3 linked regions of the Xenopus tropicalis genome follow. The main gene of each other region encodes a partner of the protein of the gene in region 3 in a complex. Links are inferred from orthologs where the notes say so. Each region holds a gene or a part of one and is shown on either strand. Other genes may lie near its edges.

Region 1 (7,287 bases), on a different chromosome or scaffold from region 3:
GAGACGGCGGATTTTAAGGTTTATACTAAAGGCGCAGGAAGCGGTGAACTTAAAGTTGTGGTCAAGGGACCAAGTGAGTGATATTTAGAGAAGCCTTTGTATTCTGTTAAGTTTATTTTTTTTTATTTTTTTCTTCTTGACACATAAACATGGTATTTCATTTTTGGCTCAAATGTTGCTACTGTCCTATTTTGACGGCAATACATTTGTTGACTACAAAACATTTTATTCTATGTGGATCAGTCTCCATTTTGAATTGGTTAGCTAGCCATACTGCTCATGAAGTTTGTCCTGTTTGGGTGACATTTACTGTTGTGCTTGCAGAGGGTACAGAGGAACGTGTCAAGCAGAAGGACCTAGGAGATGGTGTGTATGCCTTTGAGTACTATCCAGCTACACCTGGGAACTATATTGTTACCATCACATGGGGCGGACAGAATATCCCCAGAAGGTGAGCTAGCTTCTCTCTTCCCCCTTTCTCAGCGACTTTGGAAGGACTGTTGTCACTAGCAAGGTATTCATTTTTCCTCCTTCAGTCCATTTGAGGTAAAAGTTGGCACTGAATGTGGACAACAAAGAGTTCGAGCATGGGGCCCTGGTCTTGAAGGAGGGGTGGTTGGAAAATCAGCTGACTTTGTTGTAGAAGCAATCGGTGATGATGTTGGGACTCTCGGTAAGTTCATCAACCTTGTGTATCGATACTCAATTGTGATGAGGCTGTTTGATATCGGTGCAATGCATTTTTTACACTGTCTCTTGTAGGGTTTTCTGTGGAAGGTCCATCTCAAGCTAAGATCGAGTGTGACGATAAAGGAGATGGGTCCTGTGATGTGCGCTACTGGCCACTGGAACCTGGAGAGTATGCGGTGCATGTTCTGTGCAACAATGAGGACATCAAACTGAGTCCTTTCATGGCTGATATCAAACCAGCCCCCAAAGACTTCTACCCAGAGAAGGTAAACAACTGCTGTGAGCAGCTACCCTGTTGCATGCATAGTTTAGCAGAACTTTTAATCTCCTGTTTTGTGGAGATCTATTGCAAATTCTTATTCATGGAAGTGCATGGCTCTGTGGGAGATTGCTTGGGTCGCAGTGCCTTTCAAACCTTTTCTGTGCTCGGTTTACTCCTTGTCTATGCGTATGCATTAACTGCTGCTATTTTTGAAACATTTAAGGTCAAGGCCTATGGTCCTGGGCTAGAGAAGACTGGGTTGGCAATAAACAAACCAGCAGAGTTCACTGTTGATGCCAAACTTGGAGGAAAGGCTCCTCTCAAGGTGTCTGTGCAGGTATGTCTCACTCCCTTTTTTTTAATAAAAAAAGAATAGACTGACTTGCTTCATTCTGGAAATTCCTAACTCTGACTGGTCACCATGCAGGATTCTGAAGGCACTCCAGTGGATGTCACAACCAAAGATAATGGAAATGGCACATACAGCTGCAGTTATTTGCCAAAGAAACCTCTGAAACACACAGCTGTGGTGTCTTGGGGTGGGGTGAACATTCCCAACAGTCCTTTCAGGGTAAGGCCTTTATATTAACAGGTTGACACTAAAGGAATAGCAAGATAGTAGCTCCCAGTAGATAGCAGAATAGCACTCAATAGTAATGAAAATGATTACATTATCCCTTGTATTTTTGTATTGGGTTGTATTATACCTGGTGATAATAGATCTGGTGATAATATCCTTGAAAAAACAAACTTGGTGATAGCTATATATAAAGTAATTTGTATCCACCTGCTTACCTTGTAGATGACTATTGGTGCTGGAAGCCACCCTAACAAGGTGAAGGTTTATGGACCTGGTGTTGCTAAGACTGGCCTGAAAGCTCATGAACCAACCTACTTTACTGTGGATTGCACAGAAGCTGGTCAAGGTGAGAAGTGTTCAGGGTGCTTTGTCAAAATTTGATTTTGAGTTTGTTCTTTGTAAAATTCTACTGTCTCCTGCTTCTCACTCCAGTATATGTTTCTTTCCACTCAGGTGATGTGAGTATTGGAATTAAATGTGCCCCAGGAGTTGTGGGCCCGGCTGAGGCGGACATAGACTTTGACATTATCCGCAATGATAATGATACATTCACCGTGAAGTACACTCCTCCTGGAGCTGGGAGCTACACCATCATGGTCCTGTTTGCTGACCAGGTGACTGTCTGCATCATTGCTTTGTGGTACTATTTTGCTCATTAGGAGGAAATATGTTCTATGCTTTCTAAATCCAACTTTTGAGAAAGTAAGGATTTGTGCTTATTTAACTTTCTAACCACAAACACTGGAATCAATCACTTGGCATATTACAGTTCTAGGTCTGCAGCTCCTACTGACCTGAAAAGTTAGAAGTCTCTCATATTTGTTATTGAAGAATTCACCACTGACAAAATCCTTCTGTGTTCTAGGCTACTCCAATGAGTCCATTCCGTATCAAGGTTGATCCATCACATGATGCAAGTAAAGTTAAGGCAGAAGGACCTGGACTAAATAGAAGTGGTAAGAATTGTTTCAGTGGCAAACAAGCTATTCAACTATTGGCATTGTCTGCAGTTGGTTACCATCATGACTTCCCAGAATCCTTCATTATGTACCTTCCTGTGTGTTTAAAGGTGTAGAAATTGGAAAACCAACTCATTTCACAGTTAACACCAAGGCTGCTGGAAAAGCCAACCTAGACGTGCAGTTTACAGGTCCAGCCAAGGGAGAGGCTGTGAAGGACTTTGATGTTATTGACAACCACGATAACACCTACACCGTAAAATACACTCCAGTGCAACAGGTACATCTGCTGAATCTCTTCTTGGTTAAATTAATTTTCATTGGAATGTCTGATCTGGTAGTGACTTTATTCTGCTTTTTAAAATTTTATTTCACCTTATTTTTCACTCTAGGGTAACATGGGTGTAAATGTGACCTATGGTGGTGACCATATTCCAAAGAGTCCCTTCACCGTTGGCATTGCCCCAACTTTGGACCTCAGTAAAATCAAAGTTTCTGGACTTGGTGACAGTATGTATTTTTCTAGATTATGAATTTGGAAGATCTTTAGCTTTTGATTTACAACTTACAAGCTTTTATATTTTCCCCTGCCCAGAGGTGGAGGTCGGGAAGGATCAGGAGTTCACAGTAAAATCCAGGGGTGCTGGAGGACAAGGCAAAGTGGCTTGCAAGATCACAGGACCATCCAACAAGTCTGTTCCTTGCAAGGTGGAACCTGGTCTGAGCCCAGATAACAGCACTGTCAAATTCATCCCTAGGGAGGAAGGCCCATATGAGGTAGACGTGACGTACGACGGAGTGCCTATACCTGGTAGCCCATTTCCCGTTGAGGCAGTTCCTTCAACAAATCCTTCAAAGGTAGAGCTCCTGTGTTAATCACTTAACATAGAAACTTAAATATACTATGGCCAATGTTGGTTTGATATTGGTCAAGGAGAACTCATGAGTTTTGGTGTTGCAGGCAGGGCATCCATTAGTGGATGCAAATTTATGCTCACCAATTCCTGGGGTCCTGGAAATCGAACTTTTGTTAAGATAACAATTCTATATAGTAAAAGAGGCCTACCGGGTATTGAATAGTTGTCCTTTTTGAGAGTGTAGTTATGCAGGATAGAATTTCATTAGCTTAACTTTTTTTTTTCTTTTGCAGGTCAAAGCTTTTGGACCTGGTCTAAAAGGAGGCAGTGTTGGTTCCTCTGCACCCTTTACTATTGACACTAAAGGTGCAGGCCAAGGTGGGCTTGGTCTCACTGTTGAAGGTCCATGTGAAGCCAAAATAGAATGTCTAGACAATGGAGATGGAACCTGTTCTGTCTCTTACTTGCCTACAGAACGTGGTGACTATAATATCAATATCTTGTTTGCTGATACACATATCCCTGGATCACCTTTCAAGGCTAAGGTTGAGCCATGTTTCGATCCTTCAAAGGTGACCTGTTCTGGTCCTGGTCTGGAACATGCTCAGGTTGGAGAAGCTGGTAAATTTAATGTGGACTGTTCAAATGCTGGCAGCGCTGAGCTTACCATTGAAATTATCTCAGACAATGGTATGCAAGCCGAAGTACACATCCAGGACAATGGGGATGGAACTTACACCATTACATACATCCCACTGTACCCAGGGGTCTACACTATCACCATTAAGTATGGAGGACAGATGGTGCCCAACTTCCCAAGTAAGCTGCAAGTTAAACCTGCCATTGACACCTCTGGGGTTAAAGTCTATGGACCAGGAGTTGAAGGGAAAGGTAAGTGCAACACACGAGCACTGTAAATATTTTTCGGGAGAAGTCTGTGGATTGAAGTTTTATAGATGTTTAACAAGGATTTTCTGCATTTTTCTTCTCCAGGGGTTTTCAGAGAAGCTACTACAGATTTCAATGTGGATGCTCGGGCTCTAACTAAATCTGGAGGGCCTCATCTCAAGACCGTGGTCTCCAATCCTTCTGGCAACTTTACTGAGGCATTTGTGCAAGACAACGGAGATGGCACATACAAAGTGGAATATACTCCATATGAAGAGGGTAAGCCACACAGTAATTGGGCCATTGGTGACAGTTTGTCACAAGATTTTACTTTACTAATGTATGACTGAAACATAATTGTCTGAGGCACTGAACAATGAAATATTCTTCTGCACCTCAACATTCTGGACACAAGGGTGCAATCACCTTAATTCCCTTAAACAGTCAAAAATGAACATTGTAGTAACATAACCTCTTGTATCGGTTATTGATTGCTTTATATGTTACTCCGTATGTCCAATGTATGTAACCCACTTATTGTACAGCGCCGCGGAATATGTTGGCGCTTTATAAATAAATGTTAATGTAAAATGTAATGTAAATTGAAGGACATAACAAAACTAAGTTGTAGACTGACGACAAATGTATGAATAATGCTATAAAATGCCTTAACATGCTATGTTCATTTGTGTAAGTGAAACAAAATAAAAACTATAAGTTACAAATAAACTAAGTTCTAGAATGGTTGAACCCACTTCTAAAATATGTTTTCCATCAGGAATCCACTCTGTTGATGTAATCTACGACGGAAGCCCAGCCCCAAAAAGTCCCTTTGTGGTCCCTGTGACAGAAGGGTGTGATCCAAGCCGTGTCAGAGTCCATGGCCCTGGCATTGTGAGCGGTACCACAAACCAACCAAACAAATTCACTGTGGAGACAAGGTAATTTCATAGTATTATGCTGTGCTTTCCTAAAACTACACTCTTAACTTCACTTGGGTTACTCCTGCCAAAGAGAATGCACTTAAACTGGTATGTTATTTTGGAGTAGTAAACTATAGCCCTAAGCATAAGTTTGTTTAAAGCAACATTTTGATTGGTTGCTCTAGGATTAACATGGCTGAATATTCCTTTCATGTTTTTCTCCTTTCACCAATTTAATAGCAAAAAAAAAATCTTAATGTTGCATAGGTATGAAGCAATATCCTAAGCATTTTCCTTTCCATCTGTAGAGGAGCTGGTACAGGAGGGCTTGGCTTGGCTGTTGAAGGTCCATCAGAAGCAAAGATGTCCTGTACCGATAACAAGGATGGCAGCTGTTCTGTGGAATACGTACCGTACGAACCTGGCACATACAACCTTAATGTCACATATGGTGGACATCAAGTTCCAGGTAAGATTTAATGCGTGTAACCATGCTAATGTCGGGTATCTGGTTTCTGCTGAGTAACTGTGCTCATTACTTCATTGCCATGCAGGTAGCCCCTTTAAAGTTCCAGTTAGCGATGTGGTCGATAGCTCAAAAGTCAAATGTACCGGCCCTGGTTTGAGCCCCGGTCTTGTAAGAGCAAACGTCCCTCAGTCATTCAGTGTGGACACAAGCAAAGCTGGAGTTGCTCCTCTGCAAGTCAAAGTTCAAGGTCCCAAGGGTAAGCTAAAAATGTATTTTAGTAGGTGGGAGATTGCTTTATTACATTGTGTCCAAAGGGTTTATGACACGATTATGTTCTCCACGCCACACTTGGTAAATAGATCTATTTTTATTAAAAAGGTTACTTTGCTGAGCAAGTAGGTACCATAGCTTAAGGTCATCCTTTAAAGGATCAGTGATCATAACCTTGTGAGGGTTTTTCGAACTGTCTGGTCAACAATTGTATAATGTTTGATATTGATAGGTATTGTTGAACCAGTGGAAATTGTGGATAATGGAAATGGCGTCCAGACTGTCAACTATGTGCCAACTAGAGAAGGACCTTATAACATCTCTGTACTTTATGGTGATGATGAGATACCTCACAGGTAAGAGCCAAACTCTGTTCTCTGATCTTCATAAGTTTTTCTGGAATTTTTGGTTTCTTTTAACCTTGTGTTCTTTACTCTCAGCCCATTTAAGGTTAGGGTTCTGCCAACTCATGATGCAAGTAAGGTGAAGGCAAGCGGACCAGGCTTAAACACCACTGGAGTTCCTGCCAGCTTGCCTGTGGAGTTCACTATTGATGCCAAGGATGCTGGAGAGGGCCTGCTTGCTGTTCAGATAACTGTAAGTGCCTTAAAATTAAAGTGTATATAAGAATCTCTTCTGTGTTATTACTGTAGACTAATCTGTCCCTCCCCTACAGGATCCAGAGGGCAAGCCCAAGAAGGCTACAATCCGTGATAATCAGGATGGCACCTATACGGTGTCCTATGTGCCTGACATGACTGGTCGGTACACTATCCTGATAAAGTATGGAGGCGATGAGATCCCTTATTCTCCTTATCGCATCCGTGCGCTTCCCACTGGGGACGCCAGCAAGTGCACAGTGACAGGTATGTAGTCGTTGGGGTAGTGGGCCGTGTAAGGAATTCCACTCTCGTGTAAACCTCTACTTTTGAGTAGAGTTTTTGAATTGACACAACAGAGTGTTGTGTTTGGGGAGGGAATGGAGTGTGCCACTGTTTGGTGGACAAATATCCCATCAAAGGTTATAACGAGGCAAGTAATAGATTGCTGTTGGTACATTCTATCCCTTGGGGTCTTTTTATAAACCCCATTTTTTAACCCTATCACTCGCATTTATTTTGACCATTAGCGTTTTTATGATAAAATCTTGCCTTGTCAATATTGGCGCTTTACAATTGCTCAAGATAGGCAGGTTCACTATGGGCTGCGGAACACGCTGAGATTTGTCGCCCGCGACAAATCTCCCTGATATGACATCCCACCGGCGAGAATGTAAATTGCCGGTGGGATGGCATACGCGATGCCACAATAACCGAAGTTTCCTCTCGAGGAAACTTCATAGATTTCGGCAAATCGCTGTGCCGAATATGCTATATCGGGGAGATTAGC
Region 2 (7,935 bases), about 120 Mb from region 3:
TTTAACAAATCTGAATTATAAAACAGAGTCTATGGGAAGTGATCGTCACGCTTTGTGGATAACTGGTTTCCGGATCCTATATCTGTACGATGTACTTGATAGTAACAATTATCCTTTTGGTTTTAATGCTAAATCATTTTTTGCAGACTTAAAGGGGTGGTTCACCTTTAAGTTATCTTTTAGTACATTATAGAATGTCCTATTCCTAGCAACCTTTCAGTTGGTCTTTATTATTTATTTTTTATAGTTTTTGAATTATTTGCCTTCTTCTTCAATCTCTTTGCAACTTTCAGATAGGGGGTCACTGACCCCAGCAACCAAAAAAACAATTGCTCTGTTATGCTACAGTTTTCTTTTTATTGTTTATTTTAATAAACAATAGGTCTTCTCCTAAATATATAATGGTCTCTCATCCAAACCACTCCCTGGTTGCTAAGGTAACTTGGACCCTAACACCCAAATAACTGCTGAAACTCCAGACTGAAGAACTTCTGAACAGAAAACCATATAACAAACTACAAATAATAAAAACGTAAAACCAACTGCAAATTGTCTCAGAATATTACTCTCTATATCATACTGAAAGTTAACTCAAAGGTGAACAACCCCCTTAAGGTATGGTGACCCAAATTACAGAAAGATCCCTTATCCAGAAAATCCCAGGTCCCAAGCATTCCAGAGGGTATAATACCTTACATAGACTGAGACATTGGCATGGCTGAGACGTGTGTGACAAAGTGACCTCAGTAAGGCAAGTGTCATCCATTTCATCACATGATTGTGGGCTGGATGTTAAATCCCTATGAAACAACAAGTTATACGTATGATCTTTAAATTCATAATCCACATCAGGCTCAAAAATTTCAACTTCAACTTACTCACAGGCTCACCATACCTCCCCTCAATCCGGATGCCCGGCTATTGTAAACATATGATAATGCCAGACTTGTAACACATATATTCACTCCACTGGCCATATCCAAGGTGCACAAACACTATCCAGAACATGTCCAGAAATAAGTATACTTTTTTTTTACTTTTTCTTTAATCAGACACAACTGATTTGACAGATTGGAAGGAAGCCATGACAGTCTATATGTGACTCATAGGAACCATTCCCCACCCCCTAAGGCTCACAGTATCACTTGACCCCTCCCTCACCTTGTTCCATTGCAAAGTGATGGATTCTGGGACTTAAAGGCCCTCTGTTTTACAGAGAATCTGTGCAGCAGCTGCTCATGTGGCACATAAAACTAGAGTAACCAGATAACTTGAAAATTCAATGACCCATCTAGTAAATACATGTTGCAGGGCTGCACTGATTGCATTTTAATTAAATTGCAAACAGTGCAGCCCTTCTAGATAGATTTTCTAGAGCTGTCCCTAAATTTTCCTATCACATTCACACACTAGGGTCAGCTTAGTCAGAAGCCACTTAAGCTGCCTGTATGTTTTTTGTGTGGGAAAGTACCCAGAGGAAACCCACGCAGAGAGAACATACAAACTTACCTGACTTATTCAAACCATCTGTGCACCATTATAATCTTTTAAAAAATCCTGTATAGTGCAGTGACAATTGGTATGTACAGTGGTGTGAAAAACTATTTGCCCCCTTCCTGATTTCTTATTCTTTTGCATGTTTGTCACACAAAATGTTTCTGATCATCAAACACATTTAACTATTAGTCAAAGATAACACAAGTAAACACAAAATGCAGTTTTTAAATGAGGGTTTTTATTATTTAGGGAGAAAAAAAATCCAAACCTACATGGCCCTGTGTGAAAAAGTAATTGCCCCCTGAACCTAATAACTGGTTGGGCCACCCTTAGCAGCAATAACTGCAATCAAGCGTTTGCGATAACTTGCAACGAGTCTTTTACAGCGCTCTGGAGGAATTTTGGCCCACTCATCTTTGCAGAATTGTTGTAATTCAGCTTTATTTGAGGGTTTTCTAGCATGAACCGCCTTTTTAAGGTCATGCCACAACATCAGGTCAGGACTTTGACTAGGCCACTCCAAAGTCTTCATTTTGTTTTTCTTCAGCCATTCAGGGGTGGATTTGCTGGTGTGTTTTGGGTCATTGTCCTGCTGCAGCACCCAAGATTGCTTCAGCTTGAGTTGACGACCAGATGGCCGGACATTCTCCTTCAGGATTTTTTGGTAGACAGTAGAATTCGTGGTTCCATCTATCACAGCAAGCCTTCCAGGTCCTGAAGCAGCAAAACAACCCCAGACCATCACACTACCACCACCATATTTTACTGTTGGTATGATGTTCTTTTTCTGAAATGCAGTGTTACTTTTACGCCAGATGTAATGGGACACGCACCTTCCAAAAAGTTCAACTTTTGTCTCGTCGGTCCACAAGGTATTTTCCCAAAAGTCTTGGCAATCATTGAGATGTTTTTTAGCAAAATTGAGACGAGCCTTAATGTTCTTTTTGCTTAAAAGTGGTTTGCGCCTTGGAAATCTGCCATGCAGGCCGTTTTTGCCCAGTCTCTTTCTTATGGTGGAGTCATGAACACTGACCTTAATTGAGGCAAGTGAGGCCTGCAGTTCTTTAGATGTTGTCCTGGGGTCTTTTGTGGCCTCTCGGATGAGTTGTCTCTGCGCTCTTGGGGTAATTTTGGTCGGCCGGCCACTCCTGGGAAGGTTCACCACTGTTCCATGTTTTTGCCATTTGTGCATAATGGCTCTCACTGTGGTTCGCTGGAGTCCCAAAGCTTTAGAAATGGCTTTATAACCTTTACCAGACTGATAGATCTCAATTACTTTTGTTCTCATTTGTTCCTGAATTTCTTTGGATCTTGGCATGATGTCTAGCTTTTGAGGTGCTTTTGGTCTACTTCTCTGTGTCAGGTAGCTCCTATTTAAGTGATTTCTTGATTGAAACAGGTGTGGCAGTAATCAGGCCTGGGGGTGACTACAGAAATTGAACTCAGGTGTGATACACAACAGTTAAGTTATTTTTTAACAAGGGGGGCAATCACTTTTTTACACAGGGCCATGTAGATTTGGAGTTTTTTTTCTCCCTTAATAACGTAAACCTTCATTTAAAAACTGCATTTTGTGTTCAATTATGTTATCTTTGACTAATAGTTAACGGTTTTTGATGAGCAGAAACATTTAAGTGTGACAAACATGCAAAAGAATAAGAAATCAGGAAGGGGGCAAATAGTTTTTCACACCACTGTATATACTGTTTATACTGAATATATATATTTGTTAGGGGGCTCACACAAAGTAACATCTAATATCTCTTGGTGAAGTATCCGGTTTTCCATTTATGACACCACCTATTAATAGCATGTAAGCTCTTTGGGGCAGGGATCCTATCCCACCTGTGTACAGAAACTCATAGCATTTATATATTTACTCTCACTCTCTGATTGATGCTGTTCCCTGTTTGTGTTTATGTATGTTTATGTGCATTGCGAACACTTTTGGTGCTATGTAAGAAGTAACAAATACAATACAATAAAAAGTGGTGGCATGGAGATGATTGAAAGTGGAACAACAATGAACAACAGTGGAACTAGACAGAAATGACAGCAGAGTGTGAGACCTGGGGAGTGAAGACGCACACACACCCACACACACCCACACACTGAGAGCTCAGTCTGAGCACTGTTTCACTACCAGGCTGGATTCATTCACAGCATGAGGACTGGCACCTCCATTCCCGGTTTTATCTTCATGATAAGTAAGAACTTTTTACAGCTATATTATAGATATTTAATTGCAGCAGTAATACTGATAAACCCTTTTCAGCAGCAACACCAATATGCTTCATCCTTTTTGTCTGACACTTGTACACTGTCTGACAGTCTGACACTCATCTTGCACAGACTTTCATGCTTTGATTGCATCATGGAGAATTTATGTCATTATTTTATACTGGAATTCCTGCTTATCCCAAGTAATTGATTCACTAAAATCCCATTTAGAAATTAAATTCTATACTTTTTGTATAGTTGGTATATGGGTCACTTCCAGGGTTTAAAAGCTAATTGACTTACAAGCTGGAAAAAGTTGGAGAGCTTTGTTTGTAAAATCAATTTTAAGGGGTGGTTTATCTCTGAGTTAACTTTTATGTAATAGAATGGCCAGTTGAAAGCTCATTTGGTCTAAGATATTTCTTTTTTCATTTCTTTTTGATTTTGTTTGTTTTTGTCAAGTAAAAGTGGGTGTGGTCTTAATATTAATGTTATTTTCCGCGACACAATTTGCACACTGCAGGTATTATTTCTTCCCCTATTTATATCCCTTTTTAGGTGAAAAAAAAACAGGCAGACCTATTAATGTATGTAGAGATTGATATTCTAAGTTATTTGTCATTGATCTAGAATTTTCTTTGAAGAGGTAGTTCACGTTTAAATTAACTTTAAGTATGAAATTGGAGTGCTATTCAGAGACAATTTGCAATTGATCCTCATTTTTTTATTATTTGCAGTTTATTAACCAAAACTCAGTTTAGAAGCAGATATACACCTCATTTCAAGGGGTTGTTAAATTAACCTGATGATATTCTGAGGCAACTGCAATTGGTCTTTATGTTTTTTTATGTGTGTTTTTTTTAATTATTACAATGTTTGTTTAGCAGCTCTCCAGTTTGGCATTTTAGAAGCTACCTGGTTGCTAAGGTCTAATTTAACCTAGCAACTATAAAAAATGAGGCACAAATTGAAAAGTTGCTAAGAACAGGGAATTCTTTAACATACTGAAACTAATTAACCTTAAGGTGAAATACCGCTTTAAACTGAATTTTATCCATATTATTGTTTTTTTTTATTACTACTTATCTTTCTATTGATGCCGTCTTCTATTCATCAACCAGACTTCCATTCAAACCCTGGTTGCCAGGGTAAGTGTAAGTGGGCACAGCAGATTAAAACTGAAGAGCTGCAGAGCAAATAGTTAAAAAAAATATAAAGTATCAAACCTAAGGGCCATTTGCAGTTTGACTAAAATACTACTAAATGCTTTAAACATTAATTGAAATGACCTGTTATATGTATATATTGTTAAATCTTACAGTTGTGTAATTGTGATATCAAAGGGCCAGTAAGAGCAATGCCATATAAAGCAAATTCAGGTGCCTATTAAACCTTAATACAGTGCTGTCCAACTGGTGGCCCGCGACCCCCCTCTGTGTGGCCCCCCACCTGTCTGGCTGCTTTGATAATTTACCTTTGTGTAAGCTTTAAATCTATCAGAACTGAGATTAACTGGCCCCGTGCATGGTTCTCCCCTCAGATTCAGGCTGTAAACCCCCTGTATTGTTTAAACATGTAATCCCCTGTGTTGTTCACACCTTTAAATCCCTGCATTGTTCACCCCCTGCAGTGTTCACACCTCAGGCTCAGGCTGTAATAACCCATATTGTTCTCCTGTTCACACCTCAGGAACAGTAGAAACCATGCACACTATAAAAAGAACATATACTGAGGTGGTACTGCAATTAAAAAGTTTTTTAATATATAGTTATTGTGCAGACTGTAGGAGCAGTGCCAGCATTGTGTCACTGTAGGCTGCCTGTATGTGCCATACTCTGCCTGCCCTATGCTTCCTGTGTGCCATACTCTGCCAGCCCTATGCTGCCTGTGTGTGCCATACTCTGCCTGCCCTATGCTTCCTGTGTGTGCCATACTCTGCCTGCCCTATGCCGCCTGTGTGTGCCATACTCTGCCTGCCCTACCCTGCCTGTGTGTGCCATACTCTGCCTGCCCTATGCTGCCTGTGTGTGCCATACTCTGCCTGCCCTATGCTGCCTGTGTGAGCCATACTCTTTCTGCCCTACCCTGTCTGTGTGTGCCATACTCTGCCTGCCCTATGCTTCCTGTGTGTGCCATACTCTGCCTGCCCTATGCTGCCTGTGTGTGCCATACACACAGGCAGGGTAGGGAAGGCAGAGTATGGCACACACAGGCGGCATAGGGCAGGTAGAGTATGGCACACACAGACAGGGTAGGGCAGGCAGAGTATGGCACACACAGGCAGGGTAGGGCAGGCTGAGTATGGCACACACAGGTAGGGAAGGCAGAGTATGGCACACACAGGCAGGGTGGGGCAGGCAGAGTATGGCGCACACAGGCAGGGTAGGGAAGGCAGAGTATGGCACACACAGGCAGGGTGGGGCAGGCAGAGTGTGGCACACACAGGCAGCATAGGGCAGGCAGAGTATGGCACACACAGGCAGGGTAGGGAAGGCAGAGTATGGCACACACAGGCAGGGTAGGGAAGGCAGAGTATGGCAAACACAGGCAGTGTAGGGCAGACAGAGTATGGCACACACAGGCAGGGTGGGGCAGGCAGAGTGTGGTGCACACAGGCAGGGTAGGGAAGGCAGAGTATGGCAAACACAGGCAGGTTAGGGAAGGCAGAGTATGGCAGGTTTTTGCTGTAGTGCCACCATTAATATGGCTATGGTCATGCGATACATTGGGTGTGGTTTCAAGTGGGTGTGGTTTTAAAAAGGGGAGTGGTGAAAAATAGCTTCCATTTTCAGCAATCCACCACGGAGGCCGGAAAAATTCCGGCCCTCGGTGCCACAGAAGTTGGACAGCACTGCCTTAATATATTTCACCAATGAGCTGATCACCAGCACTATGTCAGCCAACTTGCTGTTACCTTATATACAGAGATTATGTCACTTTTGCTTTTTTATATTGCACTAACTGCAAACTAAATGCTTTCAAACTTCAAATGCAGAAACAAAGAACGTATAGCCAGGCTTACACAGATCAGGTTGGACTCTCATTGGAGGATCCTTTTGCACATTAATGCAGCTGCAGGCTGAGGAAAGCTAGGGAAATGTTTTATTGTGTCATGTTGCTATAAGAATACAATCTTAATGTTGTCTGACTACAGCTCCCAGCATGCCTAAACCTTAATAATATGTTACATTACTCAGGGATTGAAGTGTGGGTTATCGGGGCAGTGCAGCAGGGTTCAGATCCCCATTAATAATGTGAATTTTTGACTAGAGAAGATAATTGTAACATCAGCATATCTGGTTTACCTTCAAACTAACTTTTAGTTTGTTATAGAATGGGCTATTCTTAGCAACTTCAATTTTTGATTGAAGTTTGATTCAAGTTTTTGAATTTTTTGCTTTCTTCTTCCAACTCTTTTCGGTTTTCAAAAGGAGGTCACTGACCCCAGTAGCCAAGAAAACTATTGTTCTGTGATGCTACAGTTTGAATTTTATGTTATATTTTATTACTTATCTTTCTATTCAGGCCTCTCCTATTCATATTCCAGTGTCTTAACTGCTTGGTTGTTCAGGTAATTTGGACCCTAGCAACCAGATAGCTGCTAAAATTCCAAACTGGAGAGCTGCTGAACAAAAATCATAATAAATAAAAAACCACACATAATAAAACATAAAGACCAATTGCAGTTGTCTCAGAATATCATCAAGTTCATTTAAAAACCTCTTGAAATGAGGTGTATATCTGCTTCTAAACTGATTTTTGGTTCTTGAAATTGATCCATTGGTTTAATTTAGGTCAAAAAGTTCAAGAAACACTGACCTAATGGGAGAATATAGCACCTTTCTAAGAAGCATTAGCGTGAAATGAAAACTAATTTAACTCATTTGAGTTTTTCAGCACCAAATGATGAAATGCTGTGAGCACATCTGTAACCCACGGTTTTGTCACTGAGGCCGGAAGGCTTTGCAGAAGTAGGTCTAGGATTCAGAGCAGATAGAGCCGGGGATGAGACGCACTGCGGGTAGTGTGGCTGGTGAGGTGTCATGCAAAGCTTCTTCTGCTTAGGAACATATGAATTATCTTTCTCATGCGCTCAGACTGAAACTGTGCCCCAGGCACGCACGTAGAAGCACCGCCCCAGTGATATCTCAGTGCTAATTCCCTTCCCCGCCAAATGAAATCCTAACACAGTGCTGTCCAACTTCTGTTGTACCGAGG
Region 3 (7,971 bases):
GTTAGATGGTTCATGCTATCTTGTCTTCCCTTGCCATAGCCACAGAGCTAGAGTCTTTTCTCTTAAACAAAAAGTGAAATAACGAAAAAAAAAATACAAATAATAAAAAATTAAGACCAATTGAAAATTGTCTCAGAATATTACTCTACATCAATGCTGTCCAACTTTTGTGGTACTGAGGGCCAAAATTTTTCCAGCTACGTTGTGGAGGGCCGATAATGGAAGCCGGTTTTGACCACTCCCCTTTTTAAAACCACACCTGTGTTATCACATGACCATACCCATATTAATGGTGGTAGTAGAGCAAAAACTCTGCCTGCCCTATGCTGTCTATGTGCCATACTCTGCCTGTCCTATGCTGCCTGTATAAGCTGCTACAGTCTGAGGTGAGTCTGAGGTGTGAACAGGGGAACAATGGGGGTGATTACAGCCTGAGCCTGAGGTGTGAACACTGCAGGGGGTGAACAATGCAGAGATTAAAAGGTGTGAAAAACACAGGGGATTACATGTTTAAACAATATGGGGGATTACAGCCTGAATCTGAGGTGAGAACCATGCAGGGGGGCAGTTAATCTCAGTACTGATACCATTTAAAGCTTACACAAAGGTAAGCAATCAAAGCAGCCAGACAGGTGGGGGGCCACACAGAGGGGGGTCACGGGCTGACAGTTGGACAGCACTGTTCTACATCATATTAAAAGTTACCTCAAAGATGAAAATCCCTGTTAAAAGGTCTCTCTGTGAAAATGAATAGTAAGCAATATGTGGGCAGATAATGTATTGTGCTTAATGTCTTGAGGGGCAGATTTTCAGCTGGGAAAAATGTTTTAATATCTTATCACTATGCAATCTAGAGTATGAAGAAAGCCGGTAATGTTTCTGCTTCCACATATCAGCAGTATCTTTACAAACAGGCCCCAGAGTAGCGCACAGAGAAAAGGAAGGAAAGCAAAGACCTGATTGGCAGGAAAGATATGGAACTCTGTTATTGCTCAGTTGTCTGTTTTACACCACAAAAAGTTGTTGGGCAGAACTTCTCTTCTTCTTGCCTGTTCCCATGGCAACATCAGTACTGTTACTGGAAGTTACTGGGTCCCACAAAAAATTATTTATAAACTTTACCGGCAAAACTAGGGAAGATAACCTATTCTTGAAATATACATTACCCACTGGGTACCCGACTCAAGGGCCCATCACCCAGCCACCGCTGCTCCCGCTCTGCTGCGCTACTTTATTCGCAGCAGCCACACCCACTCCCAGTGGAGAAGGGAGTTGGGGTGGCCGGCTTGTGGGTAGGTGGCAGTTTCCAACAGGGTCAGGCCCACTGGGATTTTTCCTTATTTTCCCGGTCAGTCTGACATTAATGGAAGTTCTAATTCAACTACTGATGGAGGCTAGATGTTAGATGGTTCATGCTATCTTGTCTTCCCTTGTCATCGCTACAGAGCTAGAGTCTTTTCTCTTAAAGAAAAAGTAAACCATAAAAAAATAAATGTAAAATTGGTCAGGATGCTCTTCTAAGCACTTTTGATATTTACATTATATTTTTGCTTGTTTCAAAGCTATTAAGCTGATTATATCTGCAAATATAATGAACTTTGTAACAACAGCCCCACCTGCTGGTCAGTTTTTCTAACTGTATGGCCAGACAGATACACGCTCACAAGAAAAACAGAGAACGGTTCTGATGTTGCTCGGCTCATGAATGAGATTGGAAAGGGCATCTGAGGTTTCTGATCCCTATCCTGAGCAGAGCAATGTCCGAACAGTTCTCTGTTTTCCATCAAAACATGTTCTCATCAACTGTACAGTCAGAAGAACTGGCTAGCAGGCTGTGTTGTTGTTACAAAATTAATTACATTTTCAGTTGTAAAAAGCTTAATAGCTTTGAAAGTAAGATTTACTTCTCCTTTAACACCATCTTCCCTAATATCCACAGTATCCCACAGTTGCAGTCCCCAACCCCTGGCACCATCCTTATATATTATACACACTAGTGCTCATTTATGAATCCCAGTGTGAAGATTTTCTAAATTTGCTGGGATCTGTACTATCACGATTCATTGGGTGTCAGTCAGTTATATGTATAGATACAACACCCAGAGGGGAACCCTGGAAATATCACCTCCTTAATACATGTGTTAATCCCAGAGCCCTTTGCAGCTGCACGTTCTGTATGTTGCACATTGCACCTTATTCCTCAAAGCAGAGACAGAAGGGTTCATTTATGAATGCAATAAAGTGCAAGGTGGAAGAATGAGCACATAACAGAGCATGTATTGACACTATTCATGAAGGGACTTGCACCCATGCATGCTCCTCGGCAACTTGCAGCGAGCAACAATGCAACCACCCAGCCTGCCTTGGTACATTGTGTGCATTTGTAGATACGGGTGCAAGGGACCCCACCCAGACCTGCTCATAATTCCGCCGGTCCCATACTGGGATGTGTTCATGGGTGTAACTGACTTGTCCCCGTATTGCTGCGATGCTGAGCCGCACAGTTAGTATGAAACTCTTAGAAGACATGCTGCATTGTTGGTAAAAAAAACATGGTGAATTAGGAACTGACTGGTTCTTTTCACTTGCTTTTTAATTAAGCCCTTGAGCCTTAAGTGACTTAAAGGAAGCTATGGGGAAGATTTCTCAAAGTATGAAATTAAAGCTCACCACAGAATAATGCACCCACGTTCTATTTATTCCTAAATTCACAATTTATTAAATACGTGTCTTAAAAAACCCCTAGGAATGAATAAAAAGTGGGCGAAAAAAAAGTTTTTCTGTGGTGAGCTCAAACCTCACATTTTGAGTATAGTGAGAAGCTCTGAGAATTCATTCTTCCCTTTTCACCAAAACTATGCACTACCCAGTCTGTGTGACTCTGTGTTATACAGCAGAAATGACCAGGCAAATGAAGAAGTTGTCTGGTTGTGTTGCAGCTGTAGGTGACAGTTAGGATATGTATGTCAGGGGAACTTTTCTTTAGCACGGCAGCTTGCAGGGTGACAAATGCAACTGGGATATAAACTGATTATGTACAGAGCAGTGCTTAGCAGGCAGACATAGCAAACAGGCTGCCGTTTGTGGCTGCTCCAGGCATGGGATCCATTATCCAGAAACCTATTACAGGTATGGGACTTATTATCTAGAATGCTCGGAACCTGGGGTTTTCTAGATAAGGAGTTTTTCCTAATTTGGATCCCCATACCTTAATTCTACTAAAAAAATATTTAAACATTAAATAAACCCAATAGGGCTGTTCTGCCACCAATAAGGGGTAATTATATCTTAGTTGGGATCAAGTACAAGGTACTGTTTTATTATTACAGAGAAACAGCAAACCATTCTTAAAAACCTAAAATATTTGATTAAAATTGAGTCTATGGGAGATGACCTTCCAATAATTCGGAACTTTTTAGATAATAGGTTTCCGGATAAGGGATTCCATACCTGTATAAACAAATGCCATTTCCTATACATTTCCATTTAAAAAAACAGTTCTTCATTTTTGACTGATTTAAGACAAAACCATGTTGATGGCAAAACAATCCAAACAGATTTTTATTCTCAAATGTTTTTAGCAGCCTAAAAATGCACCCCACATTACAGAAAGATCCCTTATCCAGAACACCCAGGTTCCAAGCATTCCAGATAACAGATCCCATACCTGTACCTGCCAGCTAGCTGCTCCCCGCCACTCTCCATTTATATCCAGTGCAAAGGGCATACAAACCCAACATTAAAACCCCCCAAAAAGGTGAAAGTGTGTGTTTTCTCTCAGTTATCACCCACAGAAGGCAACCTGAGCCAGGAAAAAAGATAGTTTTGTGGGGATTACAATAGATAGACATCTGTCAGCCATGGAAACCTATGTGCTAACAATAAAGGCATTGGATCCAGCACTGTTGGGGCTACTGGTGTATAGAGCATTGTTTCTTGGACTTTTGGGTTCAAACCCCTTTTAAACGTGTTGGTTCACCTTTAAGTTAACTTTTAGTATGTTATAGACTAAATCTAAGCAACTTGTTAACTGGTCTTTATTAATGAGTTTTGAAATGATTTCCCTTCATCTGTGCATGGAAATTGTGTGCTATGTACAGCACCAGGTAGCCGTGACAGGGTGTGCCTGCGGCCATTTCATACTGCCTTCCGCTTCTGACTTTTAATTGTTGAACAAAAAGTAAAATCATTTAAAATATAAAACATCTAATAAAGACCAGTCGCAAATTGTCTCAGAATAGTACTTTCTATATCATAATAAAAGTGAACTCAAAGTTGAACAACCTGTTTAACGTCAAACACTTGGTTGAAGTCACCCTTATTATTAACAAAGGTGTTTTATGTGTGTGCCCAAACATCATAATTGGCATTCAGGACTGACTGCCAGGAGTACCTTGGAGAGCAAATATTAAATTTCCTCTAACTTTGCCCTAAGGATCCTTTTATTTGGGCCCCCAACCATTACTCTGGGCCCCACTACTCTGAGTGTGTATATAACCAATATAAATAATCTTTCCTTGGTACATAACTTTTTTGCAGGAGTCCAATGGTCCTTAACCACAAACTGTCAACACAATACCCTATGTAAGCGCTTAAGGCAAGCCCCCATGCATAAATGCTTTCCTATGGAGAACACCATATAACAATGTAGGCAAGAAACCCAGTCACTTATGAGCTCACAGGTCCATTCACTGGCATCATTGGTACCAACTTCTGCTTTGTGCCAAGTTATCTAACAAAGGAAATGTCTTTCTTTCACTTCTGCCCCCTTTCTCCTTTCCATCACCAATGAGATTCATGATCCTTATCTTTGTTGTTTGCAGGGTGTGAAACAGAGAAATCATAATCATACCTAGGGAATTGCTTAGGTATGATTGTAAAATGGAACGAGGCCCCTCGTAAGGTCATATTCAGAGGGACAGGTGCCGAAGCCAAGGGAGGGAAATTTGAAAGAAGCGAAATGTTGACTTACTGTGTCCCGCAGATCAGGGCTCTTCTGCCAAACAACTAAGAACTAAACAGATGATAATCATCAGACTTTGCAACAAAGTATGAAACCTACCCAACCCCCCATCACCTCAAACCCCTTCCTCATCATCTGTCCCAGCCCCTGAAAAGCCACAAGCCCATAGCATGAGCGGAAGAAATGAACTGTGCCTGCGTTGTGTAATGAATGCATGATTCTGAGCAGTTATCTGCAATACAAACAGCTTATAGGGTGTAATTCCTGAGGAACTCCCTGTGACCGTATGTTGCTTAATCACCGTGAGCATCAAGGCACCAGGAGTGTTGGATAGTTTGTCCTTGACAATGAACTAGGGGTTCAAACTATTGCAAATTGGCTGGACAGATTGTTGGGCAGGGTGAGAGGAGACCTTCAAGCCTTGATAGATATTAATGCAATTAATCCAAGTTAAGGAAAGGTGAAAGATTCTCAGTTGTTTCACTCATAGAGAAGAAACAAAAATGAAATCCTTTATATTGCTAACCCAGAGCATATTTTCAGGGCTGACCTGTGCCCTCTGACGCTGCACTATGTGCCCAGCACAACTATTTCCCTGGGCACAAGTTCTGCCTGAATGAACACCAAGTGGCACTTCTGCCAGCGTGAGTAGTAAATGACCTCTTATAATCATCGTTATTATTAGTCCCTGCCCCGGTGCAGCTTACAAGCTAAGTCCCTAGCACATGCATACAACATACTAGAGTCACATCAGGAGCCAGTTAATCTGCCTGTCTGTTTTTGGAGTGTGAGAGGAAATTGTGGTAATGCAGGACTCCCACACAGTCATGGGTAGAACATATTAAGGCTCGATTATAATGTATCACGCACTGTGCTAAATGCAAAAAAGGAACAATTGGCAATTGGCAGTGTAAAAACAGCTCAGGTCTCTGAGGCACATAGGTGTCCTTCCTCCCACCACCTACCTGCCCCTACTTTTTGAGTCCTTCTGAGGTGCAAAACAGGAGAGGCAGGAGGTGCAGCCGGCTACTGAGCCCTGTCTATACTGCCTGCCTTGAGGCCCTAATGACAGGGCTGAACTGAACCTCCTGGTGTTGCTCTCTGCACCAAGCACTAGATTTTTGATCCAAAGCTTTTTGTAGGGATCTACAATTTTTTGGGGGCACAATTGCTAGTAAATGAGTGCCAATGTTCACTAATTCCTTTTTCGTTATGTGCCCCTAGACCGCCCCCACTGGTTGCCCCCCCCGGCACTGCAGAGAGCACAAGCCCCCCCCCCCCGCCGTAGCAGAGAGTGCGAGTCCCCGGCCGCAGCAGAGAGCACAAGCGCGCATGCACACACCATACATTTAAACTCCCATATGGAGCAGTGGGGAGAGGTCCCCATTCCTCCGTATGGGAGCAGAATTCAAAACCCCTAAATTTCTGCCGCCCTAGGCCCGGGCCTTTGTGGCCTCTCCACAAATCTGGGCCTGGGTGTGCACATTTTTGAATACTGTGTGCTCAGGTCAGATTTTTTTTTTTTTTAAATTGTTTTCACACAGTGTTGTGTGCACTGGCCACAAAATCTGCACTGCTTAGAGGGAATATTGTTGAGCACTAAGGGGGACACTCTTGCACCCCCATGGTTGTATGTGACCCCTATAACTTGCTTGAACCCAGGCTACAGATTTGCAAAGCTGCAGTGATAAAATCTGAGCCACCGTGGCAAATAATAAATTGCAGGCAGAAAATCATCCAGGTGGAGAAATAAATTCAGAGCATGTAATAAACACTGTACAAATGCTAATATGGTATATTTAATCTAAAAGCACACAGTTCTCAAGAAAGACAGACTGATCCAAAAACATCTAATATACATAAATAGCAAACAATGCGATAGACTCTATTATAAACAAATAATCCTTATTCTCTGTAATAATAAAACAGTACCTTGTACTTGATCCCAACTAAGATATCATTAATCCTTATTGGAGGCAAAACCTATTGTGCTTAATTAATGTTTAAATTATTTTTTAGTTGACTGAAGGTATGGAGATCCAAATTATCTGTAAAACCCCAGGTGCCATTCTGGATAACAGGTTCCATACCTGTACATGGTAATCCTCATATTTTATACCTGTACATGAGGTATGGGTTACAGTTATTTGTGGGGAGAAAGAATGCTTAACTCAGTCTTAGCTTCACAGTTAATAAAATAGCATTTTCTTTTCTCATTTACTTGCATTACATTTCGTCGGTTACAGGTTTAAGATCCAAACCATTTTGTTCTGGAGTTTTGTACCTTTTCAGTTCTGTATATTCCATCACTGAGACCAAATTTCTATTAACCTAATATCCCCTATCACTCTCGGTTCCTCCATTCTCATTATACTTCATTTACACGTCCTGAAACCTCCAGTTGGGGTTTTCCAGTATCTGGGAATGGCTGCTCGAAGCAAGCATTGGGGTATTTATTCATTGCTAGTGTTGGAGGAACCCAACAGCACAGAGAGTATGGTGCCTGCTGGATCACTGGGTAAGTCGCTTCCTATTGCCTGCTGGATTTTTTAACCTGTAACCAGAAGGGTTTTTATAATGTATGTGTGTGTGTGTATATATGTATATATATTGGGCATTCCCTTCCCTGATTACATCTCCAGCATGTTGGTGAGATGCCAGGAAACATATGCTTAATGGCCGTTAGACACCTGTACCGTCTAATCGCTCATCTAATCGCTCATTTCCTGGTGCTTGCCGGCTATGCTTGACTTGTGTAATAGTAGAAAGCACCTTCTGTTTTTTATACGTAACTAGGTTCTCCTTGAGATTTGAACTTGTCAACGACACAGAATAACTTCCCCTACGCTTAATTTAATGCCAGCTCCAGACTTCCACCATTATTGTTTGGTGCAGCCAACATTTTCCTGAATAGTTTTAAATTAAAACACCTGACACCCAATTTGAAATCGAATTTTGGATTTATTTGATGTTTGGATTAAGTTAAAGGAATGTATACTCATGTTCCT

The links.
Region 1: the proteins of itgb7 (region 3) and flna are in contact, whole or in part, in a crystal structure (PDB 2BRQ), measured with the Homo sapiens proteins. The link is inferred for Xenopus tropicalis from reciprocal best matches to the Homo sapiens genes ITGB7 and FLNA. Residues at the interface, in NP_000880.1 of Homo sapiens: Pro776, Leu777, Tyr778, Lys779, Ser780, Ala781, Ile782, Thr783, Thr784, Thr785, Ile786, Asn787, Pro788; in NP_001104026.1 of Homo sapiens: Thr2263, Gly2267, Ala2268, Gly2269, Gly2270, Leu2271, Ala2272, Ile2273, Ala2274, Val2275, Glu2276, Gly2277, Pro2278, Ser2279, Lys2280, Ala2281, Ile2283, Phe2285, Phe2311.
Region 2: the proteins of itgb7 (region 3) and itgae are in contact, whole or in part, in a cryo-EM structure (PDB 8ZJF), measured with the Homo sapiens proteins. The link is inferred for Xenopus tropicalis from reciprocal best matches to the Homo sapiens genes ITGB7 and ITGAE. Residues at the interface, in NP_000880.1 of Homo sapiens: Val201, Leu202, Pro203, Ser206, Thr207, Val208, Pro209, Ser210, Lys211, Arg213, His214, Cys216, Pro217, Arg219, Leu220, Glu221, Arg222, Leu255, Asp256, Ser257, Pro258, Thr291, Phe292, His293, Thr294, Ala295, Gly296, Asp297, Lys299, Leu300; in NP_002199.3 of Homo sapiens: Phe36, Leu38, Arg91, His92, Arg93, Gly94, Leu111, Arg113, Leu118, Ser119, Ser120, Leu122, Glu196, Glu198, Arg230, Tyr233, Glu234, Phe237, Glu238, Cys239, Asn240, Ser259, Gln260, Val262, Met263, Leu266, Arg300, Leu401, Gln403, Phe406.

The regions. Positions count from the first base shown.
Region 1 is NC_030684.2:31,797,845-31,805,131, forward strand, and holds part of flna (filamin-A), read left to right. Parts: coding exon 1-73; intron 74-324; coding exon 325-451; intron 452-536; coding exon 537-673; intron 674-762; coding exon 763-956; intron 957-1,175; coding exon 1,176-1,289; intron 1,290-1,379; coding exon 1,380-1,523; intron 1,524-1,754; coding exon 1,755-1,878; intron 1,879-1,985; coding exon 1,986-2,146; intron 2,147-2,397; coding exon 2,398-2,488; intron 2,489-2,601; coding exon 2,602-2,771; intron 2,772-2,883; coding exon 2,884-3,001; intron 3,002-3,086; coding exon 3,087-3,349; intron 3,350-3,641; coding exon 3,642-4,239; intron 4,240-4,341; coding exon 4,342-4,515; intron 4,516-5,014; coding exon 5,015-5,177; intron 5,178-5,467; coding exon 5,468-5,628; intron 5,629-5,713; coding exon 5,714-5,884; intron 5,885-6,130; coding exon 6,131-6,254; intron 6,255-6,338; coding exon 6,339-6,495; intron 6,496-6,574; coding exon 6,575-6,764; intron 6,765-7,287. UniProt on the Homo sapiens protein: Promotes orthogonal branching of actin filaments and links actin filaments to membrane glycoproteins. Anchors various transmembrane proteins to the actin cytoskeleton and serves as a scaffold for a wide range of cytoplasmic signaling proteins.
Region 2 is NC_030678.2:30,816,710-30,824,644, reverse strand, and holds the start of itgae (integrin alpha-E), read left to right. Parts: upstream 1-3,588; 5' UTR 3,589-3,661; coding exon 3,662-3,704; intron 3,705-7,935. UniProt on the Homo sapiens protein: Integrin alpha-E/beta-7 is a receptor for E-cadherin. It mediates adhesion of intra-epithelial T-lymphocytes to epithelial cell monolayers.
Region 3 is NC_030678.2:147,383,868-147,391,838, reverse strand, and holds the start of itgb7 (integrin beta-7), read right to left. Parts: upstream 5,066-7,971; 5' UTR 4,973-5,065; intron 1-4,972. UniProt on the Homo sapiens protein: Integrin ITGA4/ITGB7 (alpha-4/beta-7) (Peyer patches-specific homing receptor LPAM-1) is an adhesion molecule that mediates lymphocyte migration and homing to gut-associated lymphoid tissue (GALT).